3 linked regions of the Lepisosteus oculatus genome follow. The main gene of each other region encodes a partner of the protein of the gene in region 3 in a complex. Links are inferred from orthologs where the notes say so. Each region holds a gene or a part of one and is shown on either strand. Other genes may lie near its edges.

Region 1 (10,666 bases), on a different chromosome or scaffold from region 3:
GACATGAATAAGAAGGGATACAAGAGGTGATACTATAAGAATAAAAAGCAGGTTGGCACTGTCCCTCACAGTAACATCTGGTGGCAGCTGTCCACTTACCCAAGTGCAGCTGCACATCTTTCACCTCCAGGGTGTTGGACTTGCGATGACGGGCGAGCTGGCAGGCGGCAGTCACTACACTCTCAATGAAGTCATCTGCAATCTGCAGCAGCATCTATGTAATGGGTCACAGAGATTAATCAGTGGCAGTGGCACTTCCCAAGGGCAGTACAAGAGATTCCGGCTAGAAACATGCATTCTTCAACTCTGGATTCAGAGTATCTGTATCAGCAAGAAGACATTTATCATGATGCCCTGCCATTTAGAAAATCTACCAAACCCCCGGTATCTTAATCTAACTTGTTCCACGTATTATCTAAAACCAATTTGCAATACAAACCAACAGAACCAGCATTAAAGACCAAGGAAAATCAAAAACACAATAAGATGCAGTGAAAGCAAAGGGAGCATCTGAATGAAGTTAAGCAGGTGTGAGCCTGGATGTGAGACCTAAGGTTACTGCTGGAAGAGGTGTTGGTGGGGCAAGTAGGGGGCACTCGCCCTGCAGTCTGTGTGGGTCCTAATGCCCCAGTACAGTGACAGGGACACTATACTGTAAAAAGGCACTGTCCTTTGGATGAGACGTAAAACCGAGGTCTTGACTCTCTGTGGTCATTAAAAATCCCAGGTCCTTTCTTGAAAAGAGTAGGGTTTTTACCCCAGTATCCTGGCCATACGTCCCATTGGCCTTTACCAATCATATCATGGCCTCCTAATAATCCCCATCTATGAATTGGCTTCATCACTCCTCCCCACTGAGAGCTGATGTGTGGTGAGCATTGTGGCGCACCATGGCTGCCATCACATCATCCAGGTGGATGCTGCACATTGGTGGTGGTGGAGGAGAGTCCCCATAACTTGTAAAGTGCTTTAAGTGGAATGTCCAAAAAAGCTGTATATAAGTGTATGCAACTATTATCACTATTAATATACCAAGACTTTTCAGCTCCACCATCACCACAAAAGAAACCAACTTTAATGAAACCTGACTGCTAACACATGCAATCTTACAACTTTGTCTGAAACTAGTCTTACACAGGCACATGGATGGGACTCACCTCCTCCACATCTTCATCCAGCTGCTCGTTGGGGTCAATCTCTCTAACCAGGTCCTGCAGCTTCTTCTTGCTAAGCACCTGGATGTAGGACACAAGCACAGCTTACTCATCCAACTGCAGATGCTCCTCATTGTCACTTTGTGACTACATACTATAAAAAGGCTCAGGAAAAAGATGCAGGGACAGTTCTCTAGCCTTTTCTAGTACAGAACACTGAAATTTGATAGTGGGTTAATGCCTAAAAAATAATTTCCAAGACATACAAAAACAATGCAACATCATCATGAGCCAGAAGAGAGATTCCTGTCTGTCATGTCTGTCCTGTTACACAGTGGCTTAAACATTTGAGAACCTCATCTGGCCATTTTTAAATATGCCAGTGGATCACTTCCTGGCAAATAATGATATGTTAAGGAACTTAATCTGAAGGCTGCCAGAAAGATAGAAGAAATTAGAATCCCCCTACACACACAAAAACCATGGCAGAGAAGTATCAAAATCCATGCGTAACACATTAAGCAGTGATAACAGACTGGGAAGGGGTACCTGTGTGCCCTCGGGGCTCAGTCTTCCAGGTACCTGGGTATTTGGGACTTTGCCCGGTACCACAGCTGCAGTGCTATTGGCCATGCTGGTGGAGAGAGGAGGGGTGGCAGAGGGCTCGGCTTTCACAGTGGTGGAGAAGTTAGAAAGGTTGGTTAAAGCCTGTGGCTGGTACTGGGTCATAATCTGCTGGGCTTTGGCCTTTAGATCATGAAGTTTCTCGAGGTCTTGAAGCTGTTTGGAGTTGTAAGGACCAGGTCCAATCAGCTGCAATTAAAAATGAAAAAAAAAATCTGTAAACAGTGATATATCTTGGTTTAAAAATGGGAAGGTCTGAGGCTTCCCAGAAACATTACATAGGTTTAAAGACAAGCTGGTCTAAAGCAGCAGGGGGCAGTGATTAACTAAGAAAGCAGGGCAGTGTAGCATGTCAGCATTTTGCAGTGTTGGGGAGTATATAAAGAGTAAAAACATACTCTTTAGTAGAATAATGTGTGGGTGGAAGTTGGTGTTCCTATTGTGTATAGTGGGATCCTTAAAAACTCATGCTGGAGTCTTGAGAAACAATACAATAAGAAATAAAAGTAACCAGGCATAAGAGAAGATTTTCATAGCTGGTGTGACCATTCTGAAGCCCAATAAAGAAGAGTTTTTCAGAGCTATGACAGCACTACCCTGTGAACACGTGACACTGGAAGGAAACATTTTCTTTACGGTTGGCAAATAGTCATCAGAAATTAAATGACCTCATCAACAGGTCACCGCATGAGTCGAATGTCTTTCAAAAAATTGCTGCCAAATTTCCTAACAAGAAAATAACAAAACTACTGTTGCCATTTAGTAAGGCAGGATTAAAGTAGACAGGAGGTTGCTGGTGAAAGCTGTTCACTTAACAGACCTTTACAATAAATAAGCAAGTAATAGGTTTATTCCATGCTGAAAAAAAAGAAAGAAAACAACGTTTTGGCCATGGAGCCTTCTTTAGGTGTGTGGAGCCGCCTTCTCTTTTCAGCATGGAATAAACCTATTACTTGTTCCTTTGCAGCATACGCATTCTGACGCAGCTACCCACTTGAACTACTAACAATACACGATCAATCTGTTTTATAAATAATTTTAAATGCCACAAATACCTTATAATTGCTATAAATATCTTACAAGAATACAGAATAACTTAAGGAAGAGACCTTTGAACTTTCTGCTCAAACACACAAATAAACCTACATAAAACTACAAATGAGAGGTTACTATTGGCCCCTTTGTCTTGCTTGGTAGGCTCACTAATAGATAACCATTCCAAGGTCCAACAAACCATACAGTTGTTTGTTGAATGAAGCCAGGGTATCACCTTCAGAATCACCTGAAAATCATGAAGGTGTGCACTTAGATGGCTTTGTCAATGCATTTCTTGATTTTGAATATTTGTGCCAAGACCTTGCTTAGTCTTCACTGGTCATAACTAAAACGATGAAGTTTTTTTTTTACCTGGAGTAGAACATTCCTCTAAATCCAAGAACACATCTATTGTTCTCCTCTGCACTGATTCCAGAGAATCAATAATTTTGAAAACTGTTTGGCTGTTAAAACAACAAGAGTGAATAATGAATATAAATGCATCCTACAAAGATAACCAGGTAGAACATACTGTATGCTTGGGCCAAGTGAGTGAGTTATGCATTGTAAGCTGATGCTGCACTCACAGCAACCTCACACAGCAAAGGTCAGCTCACACAGCTACTGTACTTACTGCTATCTGAGTGTCTAGATCCCTAATAACATCAGCTACAGCTGAAGGCCCAGTAATAGGGGAGGCCATTTCCACATGCTACTGTACCTGGAAACAAACAGCATGTTACTGTCACTGCACTGTCAATGCCAGAACAGCACACAGGTATATGAAAGGCTACATAAGAGTAGAGACCCTTCAGCGACATGTCTCTGCTCCTGTTCTAAGAATCACGCAGGAATGCTACTGCATGACACTGGCAACACACAGCTAGTTTGCCTTTGGTGGTGGTGATGTGGGGGTCATGTTTATATCACCATATTTTAAACCTTATCTCTTAACCCAACTGTTTAAGTAACATACAAGCAGCCCTCCAATCTGCCATTGTTCTGTCTGAGGTCTGCTTGGTGATACATTCCTGGCACCTAACTAATCTTTTTAAATTAATCAGTGAAACAAGTTAAGACTCTCAACTCACAGGGCCTCTTTAAAAAATATTTCAGTTGAAACTAGATCCTAACTGTAGCCCTCCTGATGCTGCTCCAGCAAGCTAAATGCAAACCAAAGCAATGCTACAAAGACATTCCGCGAGGGCTGGGGTTAAGAACAGTTGTTTTACGGCTCTGAAGTCTAACTTTGAAACTAGTTACCTTACAAATAACACCTTTTCAAATGCACCGATGGTATTTGAAAATAGTTCCTAAAAAATATTTAAAAGCTCAACTGGAAACCCCGAAGAACTGATTTGGAGAGCTGCTACTCCAACATGTACAGTAACTACAGTCTACCAGTATTTACCTTCCCTTAAACGGACAACATTACAAGCAATAAGAGAGAACTCTGGAAGTAGCAGTGTGTACCACCTGTACTCATAAAAAGTAAAAGAGAGAAAAATAATCAACATACGATATCAAGTGTATTATTGGTCATTTGGGTGAAACATCCCTAAAGCATTTTACTTCTATTGTTTAAATTAGCTGAAATGGAAAATAATTCTCTCGATGTCAAAGTGGAGCCTAATTGCAACGACGAACACGGTAAAACTCACGTTTCTCAACAGTAATAACGGACCGATAAGCTTGTCCAACCAGAAGTGGTAAAGACGACATACATCATAGAAACATCTACGAAAATAACATCCAAATTAAAACTGCAATACACAAAAGAGGCATACATGCACAAAGACAGCGATAGGTTTTAATTGAACAATTCTCCCCATTACTGAAGGATTGCCAAAAAAGTGGCGTTCCTTTGACATCTAAGAAATGTGCGATGCATTGTAAATTTGTTCGAAATAGTGGTTTACGTTACGGTAGTCTCGACAAATAAAACTATTTATTTCTCCCACATACCAGCGGACAAAATTAATCAAGATCTCCAAATCGTCCGTCACACATCGGTCCTGTGTATTTAATGTTTCTACTGATTCTTCTACTGTCAAACCTATAACCAAACCGGACTGAGACAGCTCCGATCATGCGAACTGAGTAAAGCACGAAACACGTCAAACAGACATTTTTACAACGCCAAATGTTAGACTTTTTACATAATTTTAAAAAGGAAGGAGGCATTACGCTCCTTATGAAGCCGAAATAAACACGGGGTCCGCTATTTCGAATAGACGGTTAACTTGTATCTACTTAAAAGTAATTTTCCAAACGTTTCCCGCCGTCCGCAGTGCACACGGATTCACTTCTGAATTCGAATATAACTTACATTCCAATCTCAACTCTATCTCCCCATGTTTCACGCCTTATTTCTGGCTTTTAGATTATTTAGATGCCACCGACGTCGAACACCGTGACTCCCAGTATCAGCTTTGTGTTTCTTTGAACCAACTTCCTGTCTCTCCGGAATTACTTCCGGTGCCACTTGACCTCCCTAACGTCCATTCTGATTGGTTAATGGCGGGCGTTAAGGCTGTATCCTGTAACCAGAAGAAATTACTACGGTGCTTTTTTCGCTATATTATCGATGATGTACTCTTCACACATACTATTGGAAATAGTTTTAGTTTTAAGTGTGATTGTTTGTACGCTGCATTCTCCTGGTCTTTACTCTTTGATGTCCTTGATTTCGTGTTAAACCAGGCATTGTCAACCTTTCTTTCCACGTCTCTTTTTATATCCTCTGAATTAGACATCCAATCAAAACAAAAAACAGAATACATGTTCTGATTCTAATGTGATATAGTTTATAGTGTTACAAAGAAAACGGTTGTTTCTTGGAACTTATTTCAAACTGAACTGCGAGTGATTAGAACTCCCCTTAAGTGCCCTTGGAAGACTCCGCCGGAAAAGATAAACTGTTTAATAAACAAGCTAAAATTCCCCTTGTTTCTAAAGAACTAGGAGGTTTCCTGGACATAGTGTTGCAAACTGGACCAGAATCAACAGATCATTTTGAGACAAGACAGGCCTTACATGTTACTTGTTACTGAACCAAACTAACGTGCAAACTAAGTAGAACTACATTTTATTACTTTATTTTTGTCAGAGGAAATAAATCATATCTGCAATTTGGGTGATTGCAAAATGAAACAGTGCAAATAAAAAAATATTGAGATTCCATAATTAATATATTTATTAACAGTGTCTCATGATAATTAAGCAAATAATTATCCCCTGATGAACAAGAAGGGATAAGAATACTTATTCTTAAGAATTCTTATACTTAATAATATATTTATATTATTTTTATACTATTAATACTAAGTTATCGCTGCTAGTCTTCATAGTTGTAGTTCTTAAAATGATCAACATTACTAACAAATATAACAGGATCACAAAAATGATAGTTTAAACGTTCACTGATACTGTGCGACCGACAATCTTGACTGAAGCCCCGCCTCAGAATTGTATGGTATCCCATGATGCCTCCATATTTGCATACAACTCTTCTTCGTTTTTTTTTTAACAATGATATAGAAATGGCAGTATTTAAGAAAACGCCGTTTTGGCTTCAACAGCTGTATCTACAAATAGTTGTTTTGCATACAGTGTGATAGGAACACTAGTTTTGAGCTCTCGCACAATAGTCACCGCAAACCGCTTACTCATGCAAGGACAAGGCTACTCCACCTGCGGATGCATTCGGTAAAAAGGGCTTGTGCTGTGAATTGCACAGGGACGGGGTGGGGATCTCGCCCCGTCTCTGCGGAATCGATATCAAGAGATTTCGGAAGCACAATTTTTGTGATTCTGGGCTGCTGATGATCGATATTCTTGGCGCCCTACATTATTGTGTTAAAAACAGATGGAAGTCGTGTCGTTAATTATATGTAGTTGTGGAGCGTCAATATTTGTGATGTGAGACGCTTTGCTGCTTAACCACAGGGTGTCGACATACGCACGTGCACGTAGAAACAGATCTTCCTCAACTAATTTCAACCGATAAAAATTGAAGTTTTCTAAAATGATGCTTAGTAGATATACACTATACTACTTATTAAATATTCAAGTTAAAAAGTTAACGGACTGCTAAATGCTATTTCTCTGTATAGCAGCACAGGGTATTTGGTAGAATTCCGGTCTTAGGGTGCTAACTGCATGAAATTTGAATGTTTTTCCCATGTTTGTGTGGGTTTTCACTAGTTGGTTTTCTCAGGTCGCTCTGGTTTCCTCCTACAGTCCAAATAAATAATAATAATAATAATTCCTAACACTTACATAGCACTTTTTGGAGACTCTACTCAAAGCACTTTACAGTAATGGGGACTCCCCTCCACCAATGTGCAGCCCCACTTGAATAATGTGATGGCAGCCATAGTGCACCAGTATGTTTACCACACACCAGCTATCAATGGGGAGGAGAGCAGAGATTAAGCCAGTTCACAGAATGGGAGACCTCCTAATACTCCTCATGTATGAATTGGCCAGGATGCCAGGGATACCCCTACTCTTTTCAATCAATCAAAGTTTATCAAATGCACAAAAATACAGCATGCAGCAATAAGTAGCCAGCAGCCATATCACCCTGCACCTCACAACTGGCAACCAACTGAAGCTCAGCAGGTGTGAGCCTGGTCAGTACCTGGATGAGAGACCTCCTGGGAAAAACTAAGGTTGCTGCTGGAAGAGGTGTTAGTGGGGCCAGCAGGGGGCGCTCACCCTGCGGTCCATGTGGGTCCTAATGCCCCAGTATAGTTACGGAGACACTATACTGTAAACGGTGCCGTCCTTTGAATGAGACATAAAACCGAGGTCCTGACTTTCTGTGCTCGTTAAAAATCCCAGGGCATTTCTCGAAAAGAGTAGGGATGTAACCCTGGCGTACTGGCCAAATTTCCCATTGGCCCTTACCAATCCTGGCCTCCTAATAATCCCCCTCTATGAATTGGCTTCATTACTCTGCTCTCCTCCCCACTGAGAGCTGTTGTGTGGTGAGTGTTCTGGCGCACTATGGCTGCCGTCGCATCATCCAGGTGGGGCTGCACACTGGTGGTGGTGGAGGGGAGTCCCCATTACCTGTAAAGCGCCTTTAGTGGAGTGTCCAGAAAAGTGCTATATAAGTGTAAGCGATTATTATTATTATTAATTGCTGGTAATGAAATGTCTTTTCTACGAGCTCACTGGGTGGGGCTAAAAAAGTTACAAAATAAAGTTAAATCCTAATCGTGCAATAGAAATTGAATAAGATAAACTCAATATAAACAGAACTGCTATATGTCCAGGGTGTATGCAATACTTTATGTCCAAGTAGTGCAGTATGCCAAATACAATAAAAACTGTATGTCCATGTCCATGGTTTCCTGAAGAAACTGCAGCTTAGCTATTTAGCAGTCTTATTGCCAGGAGGTAGAAGCTGGGATGACTGGGGTCCCCAGGAATGGACCTGGACGTCCTAAGACATCTAGCTGAGTAGATATCCTGGATGTTTGGTAGCTCTCAGTCGGTGATGAGCTGTGCTGACTTCTCCACCCTCTGCAGTACTTTGCCGATTTTTAATGATATTTTCTTACGAATCATACTGCTTCCAACAAAGTGTTATTTCTCATGATTACTAAGGGATGTGTAAAATTTAGCCTCCCAAAATATCCCCCTCAAAAGCACCGTGTCATTTTTAGCATGGGATTTCAATAACAAACAGCGTCGCTACCGCCATCCTGAAATTTCTGCTGTGGACGGATATGAAAGACTACAAAACCTGAAGTTGTTTCTGGCAGTGTTCAATGAGTCCAAATTCAGACTTGTCCTTTTCTGTTTTCTCCTTTTCTTTTCCTTCTGCAGAATGGAATCTGCCCAAGGTGCTACTAAACCTTATTAGCTGTTATCCATGTTTTCATATCTGGACAGTGCGTTTTAGAGACTAGTTAAGATCTGTTTCTCTGGGGTTACTATTAAATGTACGAAAGGTATGGCCACAGCAAACAAATTAAAGAGTGCCTCTGGGCTCTGGAGATGAATGCAACAAGTTTTATAATAATCTCATCACTTTGTTGAAGCACAGAGCAAACTCTTAGTCATATATAACTCCACAGAACATGCACAAAAAGAGTGGGGAAATTAGGTGTGTTGAGGGTTACATCATCTTAAAAATAGCTTCACACACTGAGTCATTTATTTTTAATAAGAACAGAAAATTGTTTTCAAAACCATATTTTTGTTTAAAAAAAGATCAAACAATCTCACAATTTGCTCGTAAGTCATTGAGATTTATTTTTTATATTTCATTTTTTTTTTCTGCAAGGCCAGAAAGTGCACACTCTTGCCCGTGTGTCCAATTCAAGTGTAAATGTTGTAAGTGCAGTGTGCAGTGAGATTAAAAAAAAAAACACATTTTATTGCAGCTCAGCCTCAATCTTTCCCTTCATTTTGTACTGTGTTCAATAATATTCGAGATAAAAAAAAGTTTCAAAATGGGATTGCAGTAATCTCTCATACCTGGGATTGATGCTCAAAAAAATATAAATGAAAGTTTATGGTGTTTAAAATGGGCACATATGAAATGTGATTTGGATATCTGAAGCACTTCATTATACTTTTGTTGAGTAATTCCTAGCACTTGTGCTGTACGACCCATATTGCCCAAGATCTTATGAAATGTGTTCCATAGAGGCTCCCCAAAGTTCAATCTGCAAAGAACCAGACCAGCCTGCAGGCCTGACAGGCCAGTGTGCATGGTTTTGTTTTTGGCTTTTCTGACATGCTTCGGTACAACATTGGTACCGTTTCATGGAAATGCTTGGCACAGACCTTCTCCACTCCAATCCTTGAGGCTCCACAACATCGACTGGCTGTACTTAACAAGCAAGTGCAAATTCAAAGACACCTTTGTGAACTACTGGAATCCTCCTCTTCCAGTCTGGACCTGTCTGCTCTCAATTGTATTCTAGGTGTTCTCTACTGCCACAAAGCTGGGGATTAAATGAGAACATTATTGTGGTGATCCACGAATTACAAAAGCTTAACATGGCCTTATTATGGCACAAAACTGTAATACAAAAACTCTTGTATGCTTTTTGAAAACCCTGACACTTAACTGAACAAGGCATTTGTTCAATGTTTATGATGAACAAGTATCTTTTAACCAATGGCCATGATGTGCCATTATAGTCAAATGGTTGCTTAATACAAATTTCATTGTGTGCCTCCTTTCACAGATACTGTACACCGGAGTTATTGAACTCCTGTCTGTGATTGGTGATCAAAGGGAGTCTTATAGTGGATCCTTAAAATAAAGTATAACAGTAACATATTGTGTGACTGTGGCCTACTAAAGGGACCTTCACTGCTCTCTGATTGAGTCAGTGTATTCATGTTATCAGTATCGGTGAGGATACTCGCTGCACCTCTCTTATCAATTCCTTCCAGATCACAGGAGTGGCAGTAAGTGATCAGCAAGGCTGTGGTATTACAGCACATTTGAAGGTACAGCACATCAAGCCAGATTGGTCCATTACTCAACGTGCTGTCATCACAATGGCTCGTGATACATGTGGCCATGGGAGTCGCTGGGCACATGGCACGCTGGTTGTGGCTCAGCATATACCACGCTGGCTTTACGTGGGCCATTGGCAGAGGTCTGGGGAGTGCAGTAGCCGCTATGTCCTTGCTGTGCTGGCCGGTCATACTGAGGCTCCATGGGAGAGTCATTGGACGGCTCTTGGCTCACGAAGGGCCTAGGAGCCTGTGCTGGGGGCACCACTCGGATCACACAGATGTTCTTCTTGGGGCCCGCGGCGAAAAGGTCTGCAGACTGCTCGCTGAAGGGGGTGGCATATTCAGGCTCGGGGGGCAGG
Region 2 (10,692 bases), on a different chromosome or scaffold from region 3:
TTTTTTGGACACCAACTAAAAAAAAGGGGAAACAAAAAACTGTTTAATCTAAAAAAAAAAGTTTAATTATGGACAATTTACAACTATCTTTAACCAACATATAATGTTACACAACCAATCTATAATGTCACATATGTAATAGCACAGGGGGAAACAGCTGTATTTTGACTATTGAAAAATATAACTGGAAGGTTGTAGGTTTAAATCCAAGTCGGTATAAATGGGTGCAAATGTAAGTCATCAGATATAAGCATATCAAAAATCAGTTAGGTTCCGAATAAACCCATCCAAACAAAAAACAGGGTGAATATACACCATAGGGAAAGGAATTCATTTTTTAAATACTTTACTCAAATACAGTGGTGTGAAAAAGTGTTTTCCTGATTTCTTTTTTTTTTGCATGTTTGTCACACTGAAATGTTTCAGATCATCAAACAAATTGAAATATTAGACAAAGATAACACAAGTAAACTCAAAATGCAGTTTTTAAATGAAGGTTTTTATTATTAAGGGGAAAAAAAATCCAAACCTACATGGCCCTGTGTGAAAAAGTGATTGCCCCCTAAACCTAATAACTGGCTGGGCCACCCTTAGCAGCAACAACTGCAATCAAGCGTTTGCGATAACTGGCAATGAGTCTTTTACAGCGCTGTGGAGGAATTTTGGCCCACTCATCTTTGCAGAATTGTTGTAATTCAGCCACATTGGAGGGTTTTCGAGCCTTAACCGCTTTTTTAAGGTCATGCCACAACATCTCAATCGGATTCAGGACAGGACTTTGACTAGGCCACTCCAAAGTCTGCATTTTGTTTTTCTTAAGCCATTCAGAGGTGGACTTGCTGGTGTGTTTTGGATCATTGTCCTGCTGCAGAACCCAAGTGCGCTTCAGCTTGAGGTCACGAACAGATGGCCGGACAATCTCCTTCAGGATTTTTTGGTAGACAGCAGAATTCATGGTTCCATTTACCACAGCAAGTCTTCCAGGTCCTGAAGCAACAAAACAGCCCCAGACATCACACCATATTTTACTGTTGGTATGATGTTCCTTTTCTGAAATGCTGTGTTACTATTACGCCAGATGTAACGGGACACACACCTTCCAAAAAGTTCAACTTTTGTCTTGTCAGTCCACAGAGTATTTTCCCAAAAGTCTTGGGGATCTGGCAAAACTGAGATGAGCCTTTATGTTCTTTTTGCTCAGCAGTGGTTTTCGTCTTGGAACTCGGCAATGCAGGCCATTTTTGCCCAGTCTCTTTCTTATGGTGGAGTCATGAACACTGACCTTAACTGAGGCAAGTGAAGCCTGCAGTTCTTTGGATGTTGTTGTTGGGTTTTTTTCTGACCTCTTGGATGAGTCGTAGCTGCGCTCTTGGGGTAATTTTGGTCGGCCGGCCACTCCTGGGAAGGTTCAACACTGTTCCATGTTTTCGCCATTTGTGGATAATGGCTCTCACTATGGTTTGCTGGAGTCCCAAAGCTTTAGAAATTGCTTTATAACCTTTTCCAGACTGATAAATCTCAATTACCCTGTTTCTCATTTGTTCCTGAATTTCTTTGGATCGCAGCATGATGTCTAGCTTTTGAGGATCTTTTGGTCTACTTCACTTTGTCAGGCAGGTCCTATTTAAGTGATTTCTTGATTGAGAACAGGTGTGGCAGTAATCAGGCTTGGGTGTGGCTAGAGAAATTGAACTCAGCTTTCCAAAGATGTGATAAACCACAGTTGATTTATGTTTTAACAGGGGGGGCAATCACTTTTTCACAAAGGGCCATGTAGGTTTGGATTTTTTTTCCCTTAATAATAAAAACCTTCATTTAAAAACTGCATTTTGTGTTTACTTGTGTAATCTTTGTCTAATATTTCAATTTGTTTGATGATCTGAAACATTTCAGTGTGACAAACATGCAAAAAAAAAAAGAAATCAGGAAGGGGGCAAACACGTTTTCACACCACTGTAAGCATGATAAGCTTAAACTATAATGCTAAAAAAAAACCTGTAAAAAATGAAATATTCAGTCTAATCAAATTCAAGAACTATGATAAATATAATTTACAACTGAGAACCGATGACACTTCTTAACCCAAAGGGTTGTGTAGGTTTTGGTTATGGGTTTAAAGTCAATAACCAAGCTTCTTTTGAGAATTGGCTGAATAAGATCCTTGGAGCAATTAGCTACGAACTACCTAACTGGCCAGGGTATTGCCACCTATCATTATAACTATCTTTATTCTCTTACTTTCTAATTAAATTACAAATCAGAATTTTTTTCCAAATACTTTTGAAATCCTGAAACACCCACATGTTTCAAAATGATGTAGTAAACAAAAAAAGACAAAATATAGTTTTAATCTACATTTGTAGAACAATTTACACACTGATGCCCCATTTATGAGGAGAAAAGAGAGTTTACATTATAATTTAACTAGCAACAAAAAATCTTAAATGTGTTGATTTCTTACCTGTAATTTGGAAATGTGACGCTGAATGGAATTGTACAGCTGTGCCGGCTGAGTAGCTGAAGAGAACTGCAGCTTGCTTTGGTCTGCGACAATTTGTAATACATCAGCTCCTAAATTAACCTTGAAAAAGACAGGGAAGTGCATGTGCATCAGTCAATATGCCAAATTGTTTTAGTACTACTCAATGCCTTAGTCCTGCTGGAGTTCAGCCTTCTATTTTCCAATTAGCTTTTTTCCCCAAAAAATACAGAACTGGTGCACTTAGGTAATATATCCTATCATAACAAATATGCTTCCCACAGGTATTATGTGAAACCCATGAAGAAAGATGGGTTTATATCATCACCATGTCTGCCTCATCACCACAACACAAGACAGGATTTTGTTTTGGAAGCTGAAGATGTCTGTTAACTGTTGAAACACCGTTGCTTGTTATGAAGACTTTTAACCAAGACATGGTTTAACCATCCTTCCTTCTGAATCACTTTATCCAGTACTTGTAAGCAGTTGTACCAGAGCCTATCCCAATAAGCAACTGGCGCAAGGCAGGATAAACCCTAGTCGGGATGCTAGTCTATCGCTGGGCACACACAGACAGACTGACACTAGAGATAAGATCACTGTATTAGCCATATACAATTTCTTGCATTAGGAATTCGTCTTTTCACATACCCCAGCTTGCTCTCCATGAGATGCACAGACAGGGAGAGAAGCTTGGGGTCAGAGCGCAGGGTCAGCCATTGTACAGCGCCCCTGGAGCAGCTGGGGTTAAGAGCCTTGCTCAGGGGCCCAACGGAGTAGGATTCCTCTGCTGGCCGCGGGATTTGAACCAGCAACCTTCCAGCCACACACGCAGATCCTTAGCCACAAACCCACCCCTCCGCCAGGGGGCAATTTTCCCCAGAAGCCAATTAAGCTAATATCATGCCTCTGGACACTGGGAGGAAATCGGAGCACTCAGAAGATACCCACGCAAACCAGGAGAACACAGAAACCAGAATTCCAGAAAGGTCTGGAATTAAACCCAGGGCCCCAGTGCAGCAAAGCAGCAAGCTAGCTATCGGGCCACTATGCTGCTCCATTGTTTAACCTATTTACTCTTTAATTAAAACCCAGATGACAAAGCCAGTCAGCAGTGAAGCACCCTTTAAAACACATTCAAATTGGCTTGCCATATTACATCAAAGAATAACGAAGGGAAAAAAAATCTAAATTGTAGGGAGGCAGTTTCCAGAAGTTTGTTGCCTTTTCACAAAATAAACCCTAGCTCGGTTATTTAATATAATTCATCAATCCATTATCGGAGAGCCACTTATTCGTAGCAAGGGGCCCGGCAGCACAGAGCCTATCCTGGAAGCATAGGGTGCAAGACGGAACATTTCACAGGGCATACACAAGCATGCAGGGCCAGCGAAGATACATAAATAGCCTTCCAGTCTCTGGAAGGTGGGAGGAAACCAGGACACCTGGAGAAACCCCACACAGACATTCAAACTCCAAACAGAAGGTGCCCCAGTCCAGAACTTAGCCCAAGAGCCAAGACAGCCTTGTCTGGCCTCTGTTGTCCAGCTGTGCCACACTATTCCTTAATCGATTTACCCTCCCTGTTGCCACAAAAGAAGAATTAACTGCATGTGCTTCAATTTTCTAACCGCTTAATCCAATAAAGGGTCATGTGGGAGCCGGAGCAACAGGCACAAGACACCCTGGACAGGATACCGATCCATCACAGGACACATACAGACACGAAACACACTCACACCAGGCCCACTTTTTCCAAAAGCCAGTTTTTACCAGTATGTTTCTGGACTGTGGGAGGAAACTAGAGTACCTGGACGAAAGGTACACCAAAAGAATAGACTCCACTTGAATAGTATCATAGGAACGGAACCGAGGCAGCAAAGCTTAGAAGTACACCACCGTGCCATCCCTGAACTGAATACGTGCCATATAATTGCAGAACAAACTAGTTCATTCACATTTTCAAAGTACAGTACCCTTTCATTGATTCATTTTCATTAAAAAATAGTTAAGCTCAAATAGGGAGAGAATAGTACCATATAAAATTCGCATAACGAGGCGCTTCGTACTTTGCAGCAAGAGCTTCACATGAGTTCTAACGTTATTGCAAAATATTTTAAAGTCATATTGGATTTTCTAAAAACGGAATAGCAACTAACCTATGATCACGGACAATATCTTTTTTTAAAATATTGAAGCAGTTGTCCAGTCTTAGTGTGAGCAATTGATTAATGACAGCTGTAGTTTAAACAACGGAGACTTACACGTTATGGAGGCTTTTACTGCGGGGCTGCAACTGTTATACACTCGTACGTAGTTCGTTTTACAATATGTACTCTACAGATTATATGTGTACACTCAAAAAATGTTAACACATGTTTAAAATGAGTAAACAGCAAACTAAGTTAAATATAACACAGTTACAGTAACTGCAAACCTTAATTGTTCTTACTGACAAGATTCCTTCTTATGCAACATTTAAGATTACAGATACCTGTACCGAAGCACAAAACACCTCTTAAAACCCACCTTTTATTTTTAACAGAAAGCTAGCTACAAGTCCCAACAATAATTAATAAGTGCAGTACATTTAACTTGTACGTGTTCTTCTACACTAACCTCTGCGCTAAACTGGGTCAAGGCAGTGAAGATGTCACAAAGACATTCTGTAACTGTGCCTGTAGGAGATGTTCTTGTCTCGTTCTTCTTTTGGTCGCCTCCTTCACAACTGTCTGCACTGGTCTCCACCGAATCAGCCATGACACCCTTGGCTCAGGAGTTGAACGTCGTGCCTGATGATTGGTCGATTAAGTGAAGCGAAGTCGCGCTTGAGTGACATCAATCCAGAGTCATCTGCTATTGGTGGAAAGACAGGGAGGGAAGGTTTTGGAGGTGAATGCAAAAATAAGTATCAACATTTATAACATTTCACATACATACAATGAAGTGGTCTGGGAGGTACCCTGTGTTTGAGCATTTTAAAATGGAAGAGGTATTTGCTGACTATTTCGAAATGCAAAAATATGAAAGCGGTGCGAACATTATTCTTATTTAATTTGTTTAATCTTTTTTCATAAGTTGAATTGATGTAGTAGTATGTACCCCTGACGATATTTTTGTTTGGAATTGTTATATGTACTCTTGTTTGTATTGTAATGTTTGTTCTTTTGTTAAGCATAAATAAAAATAAAAAAACATAACATTTACAATTGACTTATAAAACAAATGCAAATTTTCATATATTAACTTTATATCCAACTTGCCCTGTAACCAATAATAATTTGAAGCATATGTTGGATTTCTATTCCTATTTGGATTTTCAGATTAGAAAATAATCTGTATATTTTAAAGAGTGCTAAAGTACTAATAAGTGAAGTGAAGCGATTTACGTTATTTATATTTGTCTCAGGACTTTAGTGGTCAGTCGTTTTAGCATTTACACAAAAATGTCCGGTTCTTTTTTAACTATTGTAATTCCGACTGTTTTCATCAGATTAATAATGCTTTTATTTTATACCAAGATTTCGATTCTCGATAATGGAATGTCCTAACTTAAGTGTTCTTAACTCCAGTCGGCAATCTGACTCATTTTATGTTTTAAAGAACTGTACACCTTGTAGGACTGCTGGATCGATCCAATAAAGTGTTAAAGGAGCAACCCTTTAAATCCCCTGAGCCTTAAGCAGATGTTAATAATAATAATAATAATAAAAAAATCCTACTGGATTTCAAACCATGTAGTCTGAAAGTTAGGATGCCTTCATCTAGAGAACAATCTGTTTTTGCCCAAAATGCGTAGATTCTTTACTTCTTCTCTGAATGCAAACTATTGAAAATATCTAAAAGTTACTTTTGGCATTATGGCCCAATCACTATCTTTTTCTTCATACCCTGTTTAACTGCATGAGGTTGTAGTCTGTAATCTTTAAAGAATAGAGTGACTGTAATTTTACCACCATAAAAAAAATCAGTTGGCAAAAATGTCATTGGATGTACACATGAAAATAGGGGAAAGGAATAGGTCCACCTATTCAAAATGATACTAAGCTAAAAAAATTCAATATATTATTTTTGTTGAAATATACTGTTATTGAGTGAAACAGCTCACATCCGATCAGATATGAGCCATTTGATTGTGCAGTCCAGAGGTTTTTGGAATTCTTCAGTGGTTCTGTAAGAAAGGTCATATCAGAATGAACAGGCTGGAAGAATAACCAACAATGCAGGCTCCAGTTAGAAACATGAAGGAGCCTCTCTCAGACGTTCGGATAAAACTAGAAGGTTGTACAGCAACATGGTGAGAGGTGTCACATAAGAACATAAAGTTTTACAAGGAGGATTCTGGTAGCACTCAACCACCCAATGTTTTTTTGTGTGGGAAAAAAAGTTATTTTCTTTTCCAAAGGGAATTGTATGGATGGCAATGAAAATACCATTAGGGGAGAGAATGGGGGAGAAAAGCTAGAAAAAAAGGAGCTATAATAGTCATTATTCTATTTTGACCATATTTATTAATTCCATGCATTCTTTAAGGCAAATAGTTCCATAATTGTTACATGTGGGTACATTTCTTATGATTATTTAATCATAAGAAAACAGATAAATAAATATGTTTCTCCTGCTTATACAAGGGAGAGAATGACTTTCTTTTATGAGGGTATAATTTGAAGGGCATATCCACATATTAATGTTGTGTTCTATTAAAAGGAAAATATGATTAAATTCACAATGTGTGTAAGTGAGTGATACCCCTTTTTCACAGTGTAGCACATAAGTGCAGAAGGGAATCCCAGTTTTTGTGCAGCTGTATATGGGGTTATAATACTTCAGTAAAGGAGGGAGAGCCTTTATTGTATCTATACAAGAAGAAAAACAATTAGCTTTAATTCCATTAAATAGCATACCTAATGTTGTGTGACCTGATATTATAACAGGCTGTTATAACAATATTCTATTTGGCTGAAGAGACAGACTTGCCAGAAAAAAAACAACATTTTTTTATTTAAAATGAAACATTAAAACCATAGTTTCTAAAACAAATTGATTTTAAAGATGAATTAATTTGACTGCTATGCGTTTTTGTAAAACAAATGTTTCCCAAGGTTTCAGTGTAAACGTACTACACATTTTCCTCTTCAATGGAAAATATCTTCCCTTGTGCCTGAAAAGACACAACAAAAGGGTTTTGGCAAGCAAAGGACAGTGCTTCCTCCAGAACACACCATTACGGCACCAGTTCACGGCTAACAATGAAGAAATTAGGGGAAATGCACCACACTCGGTTATGTTCCACTTAATTATTGGTGTGAATTTCCACATCTGGCTAAAACTCTGATGTGATGTTAGAACATGGCTCAGGCTGGTAATATTCATGATGGGAACATTTGTTTGCACAACCAGCCTGGTCTAACGAGAAAGATACCCTAGTATTCTCCAATGAATATATAACAATGTTGCATTTCAAACAATTTGAAGTTATTTAAAGCACACTCGTTTTCTTTACTTCAATATTTGAACACATACATTTTTCAAATACCCGCTGGGGGAGTTATATTTTTAAAATGTTATGTTATTGAAGTGGCGTTTTGCAACAGTCATAGATCAGATGTCTGCTTTCATGTTTTAGAAACAAAGAAAAAGGTTAGGATTGTTTTTTCCTTCAACACCCCCCCCCCACACCCTCCCAGCCCTAATGTAAAGAAAAAAAGCTAAAATCCACAGACTTCCCAGTAATGTCAAAGGAAACAGAGGGGCTGGAAAGAAGAAGAAGGAAGCAGTGAGTTAAGAAGTGCAGAAAACTACAGGAGCCCTGGGAAAATGTGATACAGTGTCAGTTGCTGAATACATTAAGAAGGCATACTTTTAAAAGGGGGCTTTAATGTTCTGCTGTCGGTACAGTCGAGCTTTGGTGTTCCGCGTCTAATGGTGTCATGCATTGTTTTTTTTATCATTTTGACTTATTGTTCTTGGGCTTTTGTGGAAACAGCTAATTAAAAAAGAGACACTGCTGAGGGCAAAGGGAGGAAAAGGCTTTCTGTTCCTCAGGTCCTTATCTGTGGAAGCCTGCATACAAAGAGAAACCTGGGACTTGGGGGTTCCATTTAATGGTTTTCAGGTTAATAGTAGCACAAGAAAGCTGCTGGCAAGGTTTATTAATGAAAGGCCTGTCAAGGTAGAGGAGTGAGAGAGCCAACTGAAGCACATTCTCTAGGAATATTACAGAATAAAGGAGAGACTTGAATCTGTCCTTCAAACAGCTTGTAGAAATAGAGAAGAATGGAATAAATTAAAAAATACAGTGTTTTTTTTATGTGGGGGCACAGATGTTAGGTACTGAATTGTTGTACCAACCTCTTTAGCATGCTAGAAGATTATCACCAGACTAAGGCAATGTAGTAAAATTCTCCTCCAGCGCACCTCAGGATGCTGTTTTGGGCTGTAAAAAATGTCCGTTGAGTCATTTTACCAAAATCCGTTTTTTTTTTCCAAGAAGAATGAATGTAAGAAAAGAGAACAAAAATGAAGTAGTCATTACTGCTGTTTCCATGGTAATTAACTGTCAGTGAGTTTCTATGGCCAACAATGTCAGAAAAAGAGAAAAAGGAATAGATTCCTAATGACCATGGATGTATGCTCTTTGTTGTCCACAACCGAAACATTTTAGATGAAAACTGTGATACAAATTGGAGAAGCTGGAGAGTCAGCTCGTTCACTGAACTGCGACAGCACTACATCCAAAATGCAAATGATTTTGAACACTAAAAATGGGAAAGATTATATTGTCTTAGTAATTTACATGTGGTTATTGACTTAAAAGCCAAGCCGAAAAAGTAAACAGAAAATAATGATGCCATGCTGCTAACAACTGGACAGAAAAAAAGACAATTCCTTTCATGTTAACTTAGCTGATTTCTGATGTTTAATACTATTTCATCCTAAGGAGAGAAGACAGTCCTTATATAAGTGTCTATTATTATTCCTTTATTTTTTTGGCAAAATATTCCTTAAATGTTAAGATCTGGAAGTAGAAATATTTCCTTACTTGTCATAAAAGGGTTCCTGTTGTAAAAGGGGAATTTCAGACCTGCAGGTGTTAAATCTAGTCCAGTTTATTACTTGATTGAATCCTTACCTGAACTTTTTTTTATGTTTATGTGATTGGAACCTGTGAATGTTTTTGTTTTCATTGCAAAAGCTAGAGACCTTCAGTTCCTTATGAAACTGAATAAAATATTTGTTTAGATTTTTTAGATAACGAAACAGTAAAGCAGTCAATATCTAAAGGCATATTTAAAAGCCCGTTGACAATGTGTTTAGGCACATTGAAAACAATGAAAGATTCAAGTTAATCTAATTATTAGTCAATTAAGGGCTCAATTATCAAACTGTGAGCTCAGCTGGAAGGAAAGCCTGCAGGTGTGTGGGTCTCTAAGACCAGGATTGGGAACCCCTGCTGCAGGACATGTAAAATATTTATTATGCAGTTTTAAACTCCAACCAGGAAGCCAGTGTTAATACACTCGTCAAATGCTTCCAGCTGGTGATAAAATCAAGTTTTGTAAACATTACTGGCACACAAATCACATTGTTTTGAGCAGTGTTGTATTTCCATATTGAGTCTAGTTTCCTTTTTCTTGAATCAGGACGAACAAAAGAGTAGTTTGATTATTTTCAGCGCTGTGAATGGCTGGTTATGTCCTTACTGTTGTCTGCTGTGGTGTTTAGCAACCGACAGCAGGGATATAGGTATGACACAGGCCTCATCGGTCTGTCTGGCATGCTCTTCCTCAGGTATCGCTGCACATGCTTTGCTTCAGTGGAAAAAATGGTTAACTTGGTAAAAGAAAAAAAAACACCTGTGTTGTGAAGGTCTGAGAGACAGCTGCCAGTGTGAATGCCGAGACTTTTGTGTGTATGTGTGTGTGTTAACATGCATTGTCAGATATTGGCAGAATCTGTCTCTCCCTTTGCCTTTTCTGCAAGAATGCATTGACAGAACAGCTCCCCGTTTATAGAAATGTTGTCCATCAAGCTAGGGAGTACAGAAAACACAATGGTGTGCTTCTGTGGCCAGTGACTGTGGGAAACTTTTTCTTGGCTATTCAGATTTTTCCCCCTTTTTCATAGAACGAGAAGAGGCTGATGAAGGCAACAACAAAAAAGAACAATTAGGAGAACAAAACCAAACCCTCTTACAATTGAACTCTGGA
Region 3 (11,512 bases):
CCCTTTCACTCATTTTCCAGTCATCTCTAAGTCCCCTGCTTTCTGCAGGCGGTTCCTGACCTCCCAGCACCCGCTACCAGCATTCCTTCTGCCTGGGCTCAGCTTACACACTTCCTCAATTCACCATCATTAGGAATGATTAGCACGACTGGACGCCTGGCTCCTGTGTCCTATGGCGCATTCCCATGGGAGCAGGGAGAAGTGAAACGGTATGATTCTCTACTAGACAGATACAGATATCCCCCCCCTGTAAGAGGATCTCCTCAGTGCGCTGCAGAAGAACAGAGACTGGAAGTATCTTTCCGTCCACAATTACATCAGTCAATCACCACCTGAAAACTGGACGATATAATTACATGTTATTTCCTGCAGGGATACAGGGTGCATATTTTGTGAAGAAACATTCTCGTGTGTCAAGCTTTGACCAGAAAGTGATTTGTGGAAGTGCCATTAGGATTGAAATCCCGTTTCCTGTTTCCCAGCGAGCATAACCATACAATTATTTTGAAGCCCATAAGTTTGCATACGTGCAACTGAAAACCGAGATTCAAAACATTAATGTGTCAATGGTTAAATGTTGTCCATATGGGCTGAGCTAAGGTTCAAAGTTCGGCCTCACAACTTTCTTGGGTCTGAAACCTTTCACGTGCATTGCTATCAGAGCAGAATAAAGGCTTTGCTCACTCAGCCACACCGCCACATGACTGTGGAGCTCAGATCACTCGCTAGCCAGCCTTTTTCCTCTTCTGGTGTCAAGATCTGGCTCCGAGACTCTGAAGGCCAGGCAAGACCCCGCCGGGCTCCTGATGACAAGTGTGCTTATTTGCAACCTGCAAAGTCCTTGAAAACGGTCCACATGGACAACAAGAACACAAGGCTCGTTGTGGCTAAGAAATGGTTCAGAAATGCTGGGGATCTGACTCAGTGCCCTGATTTCTCTCTGCTCTGCTCTTGGCAGCACAGTGAGCACATTCACGGTAATATAATATTGGCCCAGACTCTATACATTTTCACAACCCTGGGGGGCATTCGAGAGTGAATAGCAGCCAGCTGGTGCCAGGCAGTGGGGGGGCAGGGGCTGGTGTGTTTGCTTGGATCAGGCCCAGTGCAACCTTTTCTAGCCAAGACCCATGCAAGAGCCACACAACTGCAGGACCCCTAGACTGTCAGTCATGGTTTTAAGGTAGCATTCTGCCTCTACCTAAATTAGCTGCAATGTAAAGCACAAGCACAGTACATGTGTGTGTGCCAGGCACACTGCCAGTACCACTGTATGCACTTCTGATCAGCCCTCTAGCTGAAGCACTGTGTCTAATTCCTCAGGATACCTACTATTGTCCACCAAGCCGAATCTCAAAGTGCACTCCCTGGTGGATTGAGTGACAAGAGAACTTGCTGAACATCCACCCATGCAAGATATTTTCACAGATTAACAGACCCCACATTCTGCAAATATATTGTCCTGCTTTACTGGAAAACGTTAAAGCATCATAGCATGTGAGGCACCTGTGTGTACTTAATTAGATCTATTATTATGAGCCGTTAAAAAATATATATTTTAAATTAAAAAACAAAAGGTCAGTTGTTCTAATTTGAAATCCAGTTATTAAATCTGTGATTATTATACAACATAACTTTTATACCTAGATTTAATCTTATAAATTCAATCATATTTTTATCACCAACGCCTATGCCCCAGCAATGCATTTTTCGGCATCCACTGCTGCTTCCTGTACTATTGAAAACTCCCGGTCTCCGAACTACCCGATCGGGTACTCGGAGTTGGCTGGTGAAATTCCTCCTTGGAACTTCAGTTAACACCCAGACCCCACAATCCGTCAGCAGCAATCCCATCTCTCCCAGTGAGCTGCGAGAAGAAAGCCTGCCTGGTTTAATCGAAACTCAAGTCAAAAGACTTAACTGACCCCTGTCTTTAATCACCTGCACTCTTCCTGCAGGCCCCCATGGATCCGAAACCCTGTGTGTTACTTTGGAGAACTCCCAGGACGTCAGCCAGTCCAAGGGAACTCGGGCACTAAAACAAGGGGAAAAGGATAAGAGCAAATCTGCAAACATGCATGCTCTGAAATGTGTAGCTCGAGTTAAACCTGACTGCTGCCCCTTGCCGAGAGCTGCTTTCTGACAAGCCTTCCACTGCCACTGTGCAATTTATACTTTCTACTGTTAGGCACATCACAGCCTGGCTTCAAGGGTTCATATATAATTGAGACAGTCTTTTGCGGCTTTGATGGTGGCGTCTTTTATTCACATGGAGATGATGGCTCGCGCCAGCGTTTTCAGATCTAATTTTGTCTCTTCGTTTCAAAGAAAGAACCCCCTGCCATTTAATTATTAAATGCTCCTGGCTGATGACAAAAGAATCGAGGTGTTCTTTCAATCCGCCGAGCTAATCTTCAAAGACCAGACTGTACGGCACCTATTAGGAGAGGTGTGAGCTGTGCGCCTCTGTACGCGGTCCTTCAAGGGACAGAGGGCTCAGAAAAGCCACGCTCAACGCCCAGTGCCTTCCTTGAACGTTTTATGATGCACTGGAATAATAACATTATGCACATTAAAAACGGCAAATTTGGCTTCTAATGCTTTTAGCAAATCACCTTTTTTTGGGGAAGAAATCAATATTCCGCCCAGGAGGAGGAACTCCCATACAGAATGGCTTCAACCAGCAGCATTTTCCTTTTCTGACTCGTTTAGACCCGATTCGTTCCTAGGGGTTCCAAACCTGGCTGAGAGCCCTCAGCGGCTGGTGGCGTCTCCCCTGGGGGACTGGAGCCCACCCCCCAGACCCAGTGTTCACTGCTGTCTCTTCACCGGCAGAGGAATCCTACTCCGTTGGGCCCCTGAGCAAGGCCCTTAACCCCAACTGCTCCAGGGGTGCCTTACAATGGCAGACCCTGCGCTCTGACCCCCAGCTTCTCTCCCTGTCTGTGTGTCTGTGTCTCCTTGGAGAAAAGCTGGGGTATGCGAAAAGACGAATTCCTAATGCAAGAAATTGTATAGGGCTAATAAAGAAACATTACTATTATTAACCTACACCCCAGTGGCCTTGTTTGGTTGCAAAACCCATTTTTGGTTTCTGCTCTTTAAAGGGAGAACAGAACGGCGTCTTTCTCCTTGACGTCCACCAGAAACCGTCCTGCAAGGTACAGAATCTCTGGCTCATTACTGGACAGGGCTCCAGCAGTCCTGCGCTTCACAGTCCCAGTGCAGAGTGAGGATAAGACCGATGGTAGATTTATTTCAATATTCATGTTCATAATTGAGCAGGCCAAGACCAAAGCTGGATTCATCGGCGAATGAGATCACAGTGCTCAGGGGATTTGGGGATGTATGTGAAGACCCTTAAAACGGTCATTTCCTGTTCCACTGCAGTAACGTTGCCCTGGGGCAGTCGGAGCTGCACTTCCCGGCCCCGGGTGGAATATCCAATAAAAGAGTAAGGCAAGTCTACTCGTTTTGTTTTCTCCCGCTCCCTGGAGAATTCCACAGACACGGAATTTTCCACTCCTTGCACCCCCCCCGCAAAACTGTTATTTGATGCCAGTAAAGCGCAGGGCTTTAACGCCGCGGGTTGCACGAGGAACGGACGGGCGACACGTCACACTCAACGTCACACTCGGTCGCGAGCCGCTCGCGCGCGCAAGGAGCGCTGTAACGGTCGGTTTCTCGGCCGAAGAAACGTTTTTCCTGAATTTACCTGAACGACGCGAAGCCGATCCCAAGATGGGCGTCCTTTCCTCTCTTCCGGCGCTCTTCATCGCCAAAAGAGCCGAAGTATTATATCCCCCAAGTCAGACTGCAAAATGAAATTTTATTTTATATTTCATTAGCGGAAAACAACTCAACTCAACAAAACAACTCAATTAATATTCCAGATTCTCGGCCCTAAATTGGGAAACACCTCAGCTTAACCTTTTCCTTACCTCTCCAACAACCATACATGCTTCTTTAATAGGTCATTAGGGAAGTATGTTCTTTGAAAAAACAGAATCGTCAATTTTGTTACACAGGACCACACGCTTTTTTCAGGGCTCGGCTGGTACCGCAGAAACCCCGCGAGCACCGGGGGCGGGGGAGGGAAGCCGGAAGCGCAGCGAGATTCCCCGCCCCTTTTCCTGCCCTCTCGCCTTCTCATACGTCACAGGCACCGCCTCCTAGCCCCGCCCAGTAGCGCAGACTCAGCAGCGATTGGACAATAGTGTCGATTGTGTAGCCCGGATCATTCTCTGGAGCTCTTTAGTAAAAGGGCATTTAGAGCCGAAAACAGGAGGCACGTCCTTGCGCAAAGGGTGGTAGGGGTGTGGAACAAACTCGCCGGCCATGCTGATGAAGCCGATAGACTGGCTTCCTTCAAGAAATGGCTTGGTGAGATCTTTGGACCAATTAGCTACTAACTGCCAAGCCATTCTGCACCGAATGGCCTCCTCTCATGTGTAAACTTTCTCATGTTCTTAGCATCCTTTCTTTCTGAACCTCTGCTTCTCAAATGCAGCACTTACCCATTATGCGCTCTCTCGTTTCATCAAAGCTTCCCAAATGAAACTGCAAAAACATACTACAGTATGTTTGTGGAGTCTGCCTACCTTAAAAAACCCTAATCGATCTGTTTAGGTTTAAACCAGATAATCCTCAGACCCTCATCTTTTAAAAAAGCACAAAAAAACCTCCCTTCATTAGACCGTTATTCTTGAAGTCTGCACATCCTGTTTGCTGTGCTGTAGTCAAGCCAGGTGTCCTGGGAAGAAGGAAGAGAGATCAACAGCCGCCCAGGAAATCCATCTCAAAGTGGCGAAGGGTCACTTCAGGCTGTGCCCCAGGAAGGAAAAGGCTGTTTGTTCCAGGTGTCAAGGGAGCACTCCATCCATCTGTGTGTCGAAACCGATCTGCTGTTCCCCCTGTAATTATAAGATAGAGTTACTGGATACCCCCCTGATTTCAGTGCCCGGATGAACTGTGGGCTGGTTTTAATTGCTCTCACTGGGGCACTGAGAAGCCCCACAAGCGTCAGGGATTTCCTAGGCATTCTGGGAGGCAAATTGGCAGCTCTAGTTCAGTATCAGTCTCAACTCTCTCGCTTGTTTCTCTTATAGAATCGGCAGTCCAGCCAGTTTTCTATCTCTAAGACCTCAGTTTGGAAGTGACTTCTGTCACCAGGGGCAGCAACAGAAGACACAGTTGAATGAGGATTGTGCCTCTCTAGGAGGGGTGATTTTATCAAACGTGCATCGTGCAGTCATGCAGCCAGCAGCCATGTCACCCTGCAGCTCCCAGCTGGTGACCCTCTGAAGCCCCGCAGGTGTGAGCCTGGTCAGTACCTGGATGGGAGACCTGCTGGGAGAAACTAAGGCTGCTGCTGGAAGAGGTGTTAGAGAGGCCAGTAGGGGGCGCTCACCCTGCAGTCTGTGCGGGTCCTTTACTGATGTGGACACTATACTGTAAAAAGGTGCCGTAGAACTGGGGTCCCGACTCTCCATGGTCACTAAAAATCCCAGGGAGTTGGCAAGATTTCCCCCTGGCCTTTACCAATCATGGCCTCCTAATAATCCCCATCTCTGAACTGGCTTCATCACTCTGCTCTCCTCCCCACTGAGAGCTGGTGTGTGGGGAGAGTACTGGTGCATCGTCCAGGTGGGGCTGCACACTGGAGGTGGTGGAGGGGATCTCCATTGTCTGTAAAGGGCTTTGAGTGAAGTGCTTAGAATAGTGCTACAGTATATAAGGGTAAGGAACTACCATTATTAGTTTTAAAGCCTACATTCTGCATATCTTTGCATGCACGCGTGCCAGAAACAAAAACACAATCTGGATCTTCAAAAAAGCAAAGGACTGATCGGATCAACTCTGTTACATTTGGTTTGAACAGCACTGGAGAGAACAGGCTCTGCCGTTCCTGGGCGTCATGCTAGCAGCGCCCATCAGGCTTATCTCTGCGGACAGATGAGGGGCTGTTTGAGATGACATCCTAGTGAAAACAGGGAAAGGACAGCCCGAGCCGTTCACCTTGGCCAGTGCCGAGAGAGAGAGCCAGCCGATACACGAGTCACCCGGAGGGTCGTCTCTGTGCGCCATCCATCTTCATTCCCAGCGTCGCCGGGGAGCTCACAAAAACAGGTCGTGACCTTGGAGCTCAGGGCCTGTCATTCTGAGCCTCGCTCCGACATTCCAGACCCCCAGGAGTTATAGACAAAGAGGGCCATTAAGCCCTGATTGATTCGGAGGATGCTGTTAAAGGACATTAAGCTTGGAAATGAATTCATTCAAGCATGCTCTAAGTGAGGAGTTCGGCAGTGTTTCCCTTTCCTTTCTTTGGAGATTTTTCTAATCACTTGCAAAGAGAGACGTGCTTTATCCTGCATTCCTAGCTCCAGTCCTGGGCACAGGCAGGACAACTGGAGATGGGCAGGGAATGGGCAACAGGAAGGGCACAGTACTCCCATACCAAAAGAGAGACTGGTTTGAGGGGCGTTTCCGCAGCAAATTGCTTGGATGGACCTTTCCAATTCCCCGGGCAAACAGAAATAAATCCTCCGCACCACTTTGTCCCGAGGTCGTGCACAGTTTTGCACTTGCCCAGGAAAGGTTTGCACGTCTCTCTGCACGGCAGAAGCCCAAGAGGATGCAGGAGGCAAGAGTCACGCAGGTTGAACCCCGAATCCACAGGAGTACTGTATCTCGCCTCTCTTCCAGACCCCCCTGCCCTATGCCTTCTGGCCGGCAGTGTGCACCCCACGGCTCTCCCACCCCTTGTTCACCTGCGGTTCTGTGAACGTTCGGGAGGGAGGTTCCGTCTGACTCGGCTCTCCGTAATTAGCAATCACCCCTGACATCATTTCCTCTCCTAAACACTATAAATACTGGACGGGACCCCCTTCTCTCCCTCACGAAAGTCTTTCTGCATCTCACCTCCACCCCACCTCCCCCTCTGCAGCTGCCCCTGGGTCACCCCTCACTCTGCAGGGGGCTCCCAGCCTCCTCGTCCTCCGGCCAGGAGGTTGGCCCTCAGCCAAGTGGGTTAAGCCAAAATGTTGACTAAAACACTCCACAATCCATTCAGTACTCTTAATTCATCGGTGTTGTCAATCCTTGTGAAACAGCGCTAGGCCGTTGCTCTGAATACTTTATCGGAATCAGGACATACATTCTGTATACACTATATATGCAAAGTCCTCTGATCTTACAATGTCCTGCTGTGTATGCAACAAAAAGACGAGCACAGAAGGGAGCAGGCACAAACACAGCAGAAGCAGTATCGGAGGTTTTACATCACAGAGGCCAACGCAGAAGGATGCGATTGTTACCAGCTGTACAGACAGGGAGGGAACACCCAGGCTGCGTTAATTTTAATGCTGCACAAAAGAGCACCATACAGTAAATGCTATACACAAAGGATCTTGATTTTAAATTCTTTTTAAAAACAGATTGGGGAGGAACTCCAGAAAAATGAGCTCCCTCTTCTGCCTATCTTCCCTTCCAACTATCCTATCCTGTCGACATGAAGACACCTTATGACAGGTTCTAAGACAAAGGGTTTAGTATTAGTAACCCACGGTTACAAGCATCCAAATGACAAGCGCTTTGTTAGAGCTGTCTCTGTCAGGGTCAGGGGTCACCTGGGGCCACAACCCCAAAATAACCCCCCCAGCCACCCTCCTCACGGCTAGAAGGCTGATGCTGTATAGTTTTAACAAGAGTGTAGATGCTATACAGTACATCGTTGATGGGAACTACGCATGACTAATGTCACTTCCGCGCATTTAATTGAAACCATCTCGAATTGGTGTACTTTTAAAACGGGATCATCCGCTTGCAGTCGTATATATATCGGGCTGCTGTGCATGAAAATGCACCCAGGCCTCGGGCAGAGCGGAGGCTGCAAGTCTCCGTCAGCAGGAGGGGTGCTATGTGTGCTCGTTGGGGGTAGAAATTGATCTCCGTAACACGCGCTCAGAAAACAAACATGAAGAGAATCAACCGGGGCGCAGCGGTGGTGACAGAGAAGTCTCCTTTCTTGTTGTTTGTTTCAGAAAAGGAGCCATTTCTCCCTTGGGCGAACTCAGTGTCTGCCCACTCCCCCGGTGGGCGTCGGTCCAGCCTGGAAGGTCTCCCCCGCGGGGGTCCGAAGCTGTCGCGTCTCGGCGCGGCGAGAGGCTGGGGGTCTTTGCAGGAAATAAAGGAAACAACGTCCTTAACGTTCTCTCACAGCCCCTTTCCTGAAACGCGCTTCAAATTCAGACTTAACGCATGTGCTGGGACACAGGTGGTCTTCTTCTTGTCCCTTTTCCCTTCCATTAAACCATTACAATCCGCCCCCTTGTGCAAAGTACACAGGAGGATAATTAAATCCGGTGACGTCACCACGCGAGAAGATTTTAAAAAAACTTAGAGCGTGTTTGCGTGGGGGGAGTAATACCCCCTCATCACCTCAAACACGAGCCCATTCCACCCTTGAATATGTCCCACACATAACCTGTGTCAAAAGGTGGCCTCTGTTAGATGCCTTGACATTTCTAAGTAAATATCATACTGAAACCCCCCTTCATTCATTAGTGCAGTCGCAAAGGGGTGGTGCTGAGTTATGCAGGCCTGCTACAGTACCAGCTTCCTACTGCATGCCTGGGTAGGAAGTCCATATATGGACTGTGGGAGGAAAGGCATGCAGAAACGGAATGAACATGCAAACTCCACACAGATAGCATCCCAGCTCCAGAATGGAGCCCACAGCCCCAGCTTTGCAACCACTCCACCACTGTGCTGCCTGCATTTTGAAGTCTCCCTGTCAATCCTCTGGTTTGGCTAGTCCCGATTCATAGGTATTTCAGTATTTGCGTGTATGAGCTGGGAACGATTCAGTAGATATTTTCTACGAGTTGCTTTTTAATGCCTGCAATCACTTTCGCCTGCCCTGTTCCCCTGGTGTAATCAGCTTAATCCAAACCTTCCTCCACACAGATCCGCTGCCTGGAATTGTATGGGCTGATGTGCGTTAAAAAAACAAACTCTATTGAAAAAGCGCGTGCATGTTCAAAAGGAAAAAAAAACACAGCAATGATGTCAGTACCATGATAAAATGTACAAGTTTCCAAAACTCTTAGTGTCATGATTAAATCACCAAAGCCCCAATGCCGTGGGTACTGGTAAGGTTAACAGACCGGAGTTCTGACTAAATGTTTTTAAATAATTCATGATAATAAAAATCCTACTGCAGGGTGTCCATTTTCATTTATGGGATATAATAATCTGCAGCTGCCAGTGTCTGTCTTTTCTTATCTTGAGATAAAAAAAACAAATCATAAAACCAGCACAGAGAGCCATAAAATGTAACTGTAACTGCCAACCAATAATTTGGAGGGGTAATTTCAGCCTTAATACCACACTCCCTGAAAGCACAATTTTCCCTACTGCAAGATTATTAGGGGAATACATTGAGTGTCAGTAAGGTACTGTAACATGCAGCTTAGAGTTACAAAAAGGTAAGACAATATCCTTAAAAACTGAACACACCAGCATCGGTACAGACATATCATATGTATCTGTATAATAAAATGTAAGCAGTAGATAAAACAATACAAATAGCTTTGGTAGTGTGTGAGTGCTGCACAACTTTACAATAAAGGGAACTTAAGCCACAGTTAAATGCATCTTCAACGTGCTTTTGCTAAGATACTTAACAAGTGCTTTTATTTGTTTAATGGCATTTCCTAAAACAGAGCTTCGGCTTACACACTGGACACCATAAGCTGGGAGCTCACGTCCGCGGTAGCAGCAGACAGATACGTTACCTCCTCGGTTTAAAGGCACGCCCCACGCAGGCAGTTTAAAAGAGCTGAATCCTTGAGCAGAGAGGCAGTTATTCAAAACTCTCAATGGCACTGAAACTTAACACCCAGTCGACCCCTTCAGAATCAAGAGTGAAGCATGAAAAGTATAAGGAAGTGCTTCGAAAACTGAGAACAGAGGCAGTTCTTTACACAGAGTGTGGCAGGGGTCTGTAACAAGCTGCCCAGCCATGCTTTTGAAGATGATACCCTGACATCTTTCGGGAAACACCTGAATGGGATATTTGGCTTGGCTACCGTACTAGCAACCAAATATGCCAGCTAGATGGATCCATTAGCCACCTCTAGTTTGTAACTTTTACCATGTGTGCTTATCTCTTTCTAAGGCCATCTTTCATTATTCATGTGCAGTTCAGTTAAGTATTCGAGCAGAGTTAGAGATTATGCACCATTATCTATTTAAAGCCATTTGTAACACATCTTGTAATTACAGTTTCACTGAACGAAAGAAGTGCCTGAAGACACTTGAGTCAGAGGTTGTGCATTTGAAAGGAGGAAAGAAGAGAGAGGAAAATGTAAAAATAATCCCCACAGCAGAGAATAAAGAGTATTTCAAGACTGTGTGACACTGGTAAACAGCCCTTTTTCCTGCGGTATTCTTATCTTAATTACAGCTTTGCGGCTGTCTTCCAGGATCACCAAGCTGGGGGTAATTACATGCTTTGCCAGTCTATGCGGTCCTCACAGCTTTCTCGTTGCTGCTGTTGTTTTCACACCTTCTTGCTTTCATTGAGAAGAATGTCTTTGCGCAGCCCTGGTTTAATTCCCCCGAAGCAGCCCCTCTGCTCCTGTCCCCTCAGAGATTCAGATCCGTCTGCGCCTGCGAGCACGCTCCAGCATGAAATCGGCCGGCCCGGAGGCCTTGCGGAAACGTGACACCCCGGCCGGGATAAACACCTTGTACACAGCGCAGGAACTCTGTACACACACAGCCTCCCGTTTCACATAATCCCCAGGCACCTGCATCATGAAGCCAAACAAAGTAGGTTTATCCATGCTGGCTTTCAAGTTGCTGACTCCATGCTGTATTCAAACAGACTTAGAGTAACTAGAATAACGATAGATTTTTTTACAGGTAGAATCTTAGAGGACCTTCGTTCAAGCTTTAGTTGGAGGGATGAGAAGGTACAGTAAAAACTGTTTTAATTTGGAGTACTACTGCACTTACATCTGTCAGTGTCCCCCTATCTGGTGTGTCCTTTAAACCACTACACCCTAGACTATCCACACCCCACTGGACTCACCACGCCCCCTAGACTACCCACACCCCACTGGACTCACCACGCCCCCTAGATTATCCACACCCCACCCTGTCAGTAGGAGCACTGACTTCAGATCAGACATTGTACAGCGCCCCTGGAGCAGTTGGGGTGAAGGGCCTTGCTCAGGGGCCCAGCGGAGTAGGATTCCTCTGGCGGCTGAGGGATTTGAACCGGCAACCTTCCAGCCCCAGGCGCAGATCCTGAGCCACAGAGCCCTGGTGTGATTTGAAATACTTCCAAGTGTTGTGCAAGGACGGTAACCGCATCTGCAAAGCAAGATATCCCACCACTGTCAAAACGAATAACAGGCAGACTCTTGCCTTATAAAAGACCACTGAGGAGACCATTATAAAGGCAAAGTAAGTAGAAAACACTAGAACAGGTAGATAGGTGTGG

The links. Proteins that work in one complex are often made in the same cells at the same time.
Region 1: tada2a (region 3) and taf12 share a complex: the UniProt entries of both Homo sapiens proteins name them as parts of the PCAF complex. The link is inferred for Lepisosteus oculatus from reciprocal best matches to the Homo sapiens genes TADA2A and TAF12.
Region 2: tada2a (region 3) and mbip share a complex: the UniProt entries of both Homo sapiens proteins name them as parts of the ADA2A-containing complex. The link is inferred for Lepisosteus oculatus from reciprocal best matches to the Homo sapiens genes TADA2A and MBIP.

Annotation. Positions count from the first base shown.
Region 1 is NC_090706.1:5,801,018-5,811,683, forward strand, and holds the start of taf12 (transcription initiation factor TFIID subunit 12), read right to left. Parts: upstream 5,274-10,666; 5' UTR 5,143-5,273; intron 4,551-5,142; exon of another isoform or gene 4,475-4,550; intron 3,535-4,474; 5' UTR 3,517-3,534; coding exon 3,448-3,516; intron 3,278-3,447; exon of another isoform or gene 3,186-3,277; intron 1,968-3,185; coding exon 1,704-1,967; intron 1,236-1,703; coding exon 1,158-1,235; intron 215-1,157; coding exon 100-214; intron 1-99. Other genes in the region: discoidin, CUB and LCCL domain-containing protein 1, read right to left, coding at 10,342-10,666. UniProt on the Homo sapiens protein: The TFIID basal transcription factor complex plays a major role in the initiation of RNA polymerase II (Pol II)-dependent transcription.
Region 2 is NC_090703.1:22,283,305-22,293,996, reverse strand, and holds the start of mbip (MAP3K12-binding inhibitory protein 1), read right to left. Parts: upstream 5,274-10,692; 5' UTR 5,243-5,273; coding exon 5,102-5,242; intron 2,582-5,101; coding exon 2,462-2,581; intron 16-2,461; coding exon 1-15. UniProt on the Homo sapiens protein: Inhibits the MAP3K12 activity to induce the activation of the JNK/SAPK pathway. Component of the ATAC complex, a complex with histone acetyltransferase activity on histones H3 and H4.
Region 3 is NC_090721.1:9,403,575-9,415,086, reverse strand, and holds the start of tada2a (transcriptional adapter 2-alpha), read right to left. Parts: upstream 4,108-11,512; 5' UTR 3,942-4,107; intron 3,815-3,941; 5' UTR 3,716-3,814; intron 2,036-3,715; exon of another isoform or gene 1,942-2,035; intron 1-1,941. UniProt on the Homo sapiens protein: Component of the ATAC complex, a complex with histone acetyltransferase activity on histones H3 and H4. Required for the function of some acidic activation domains, which activate transcription from a distant site. Binds double-stranded DNA.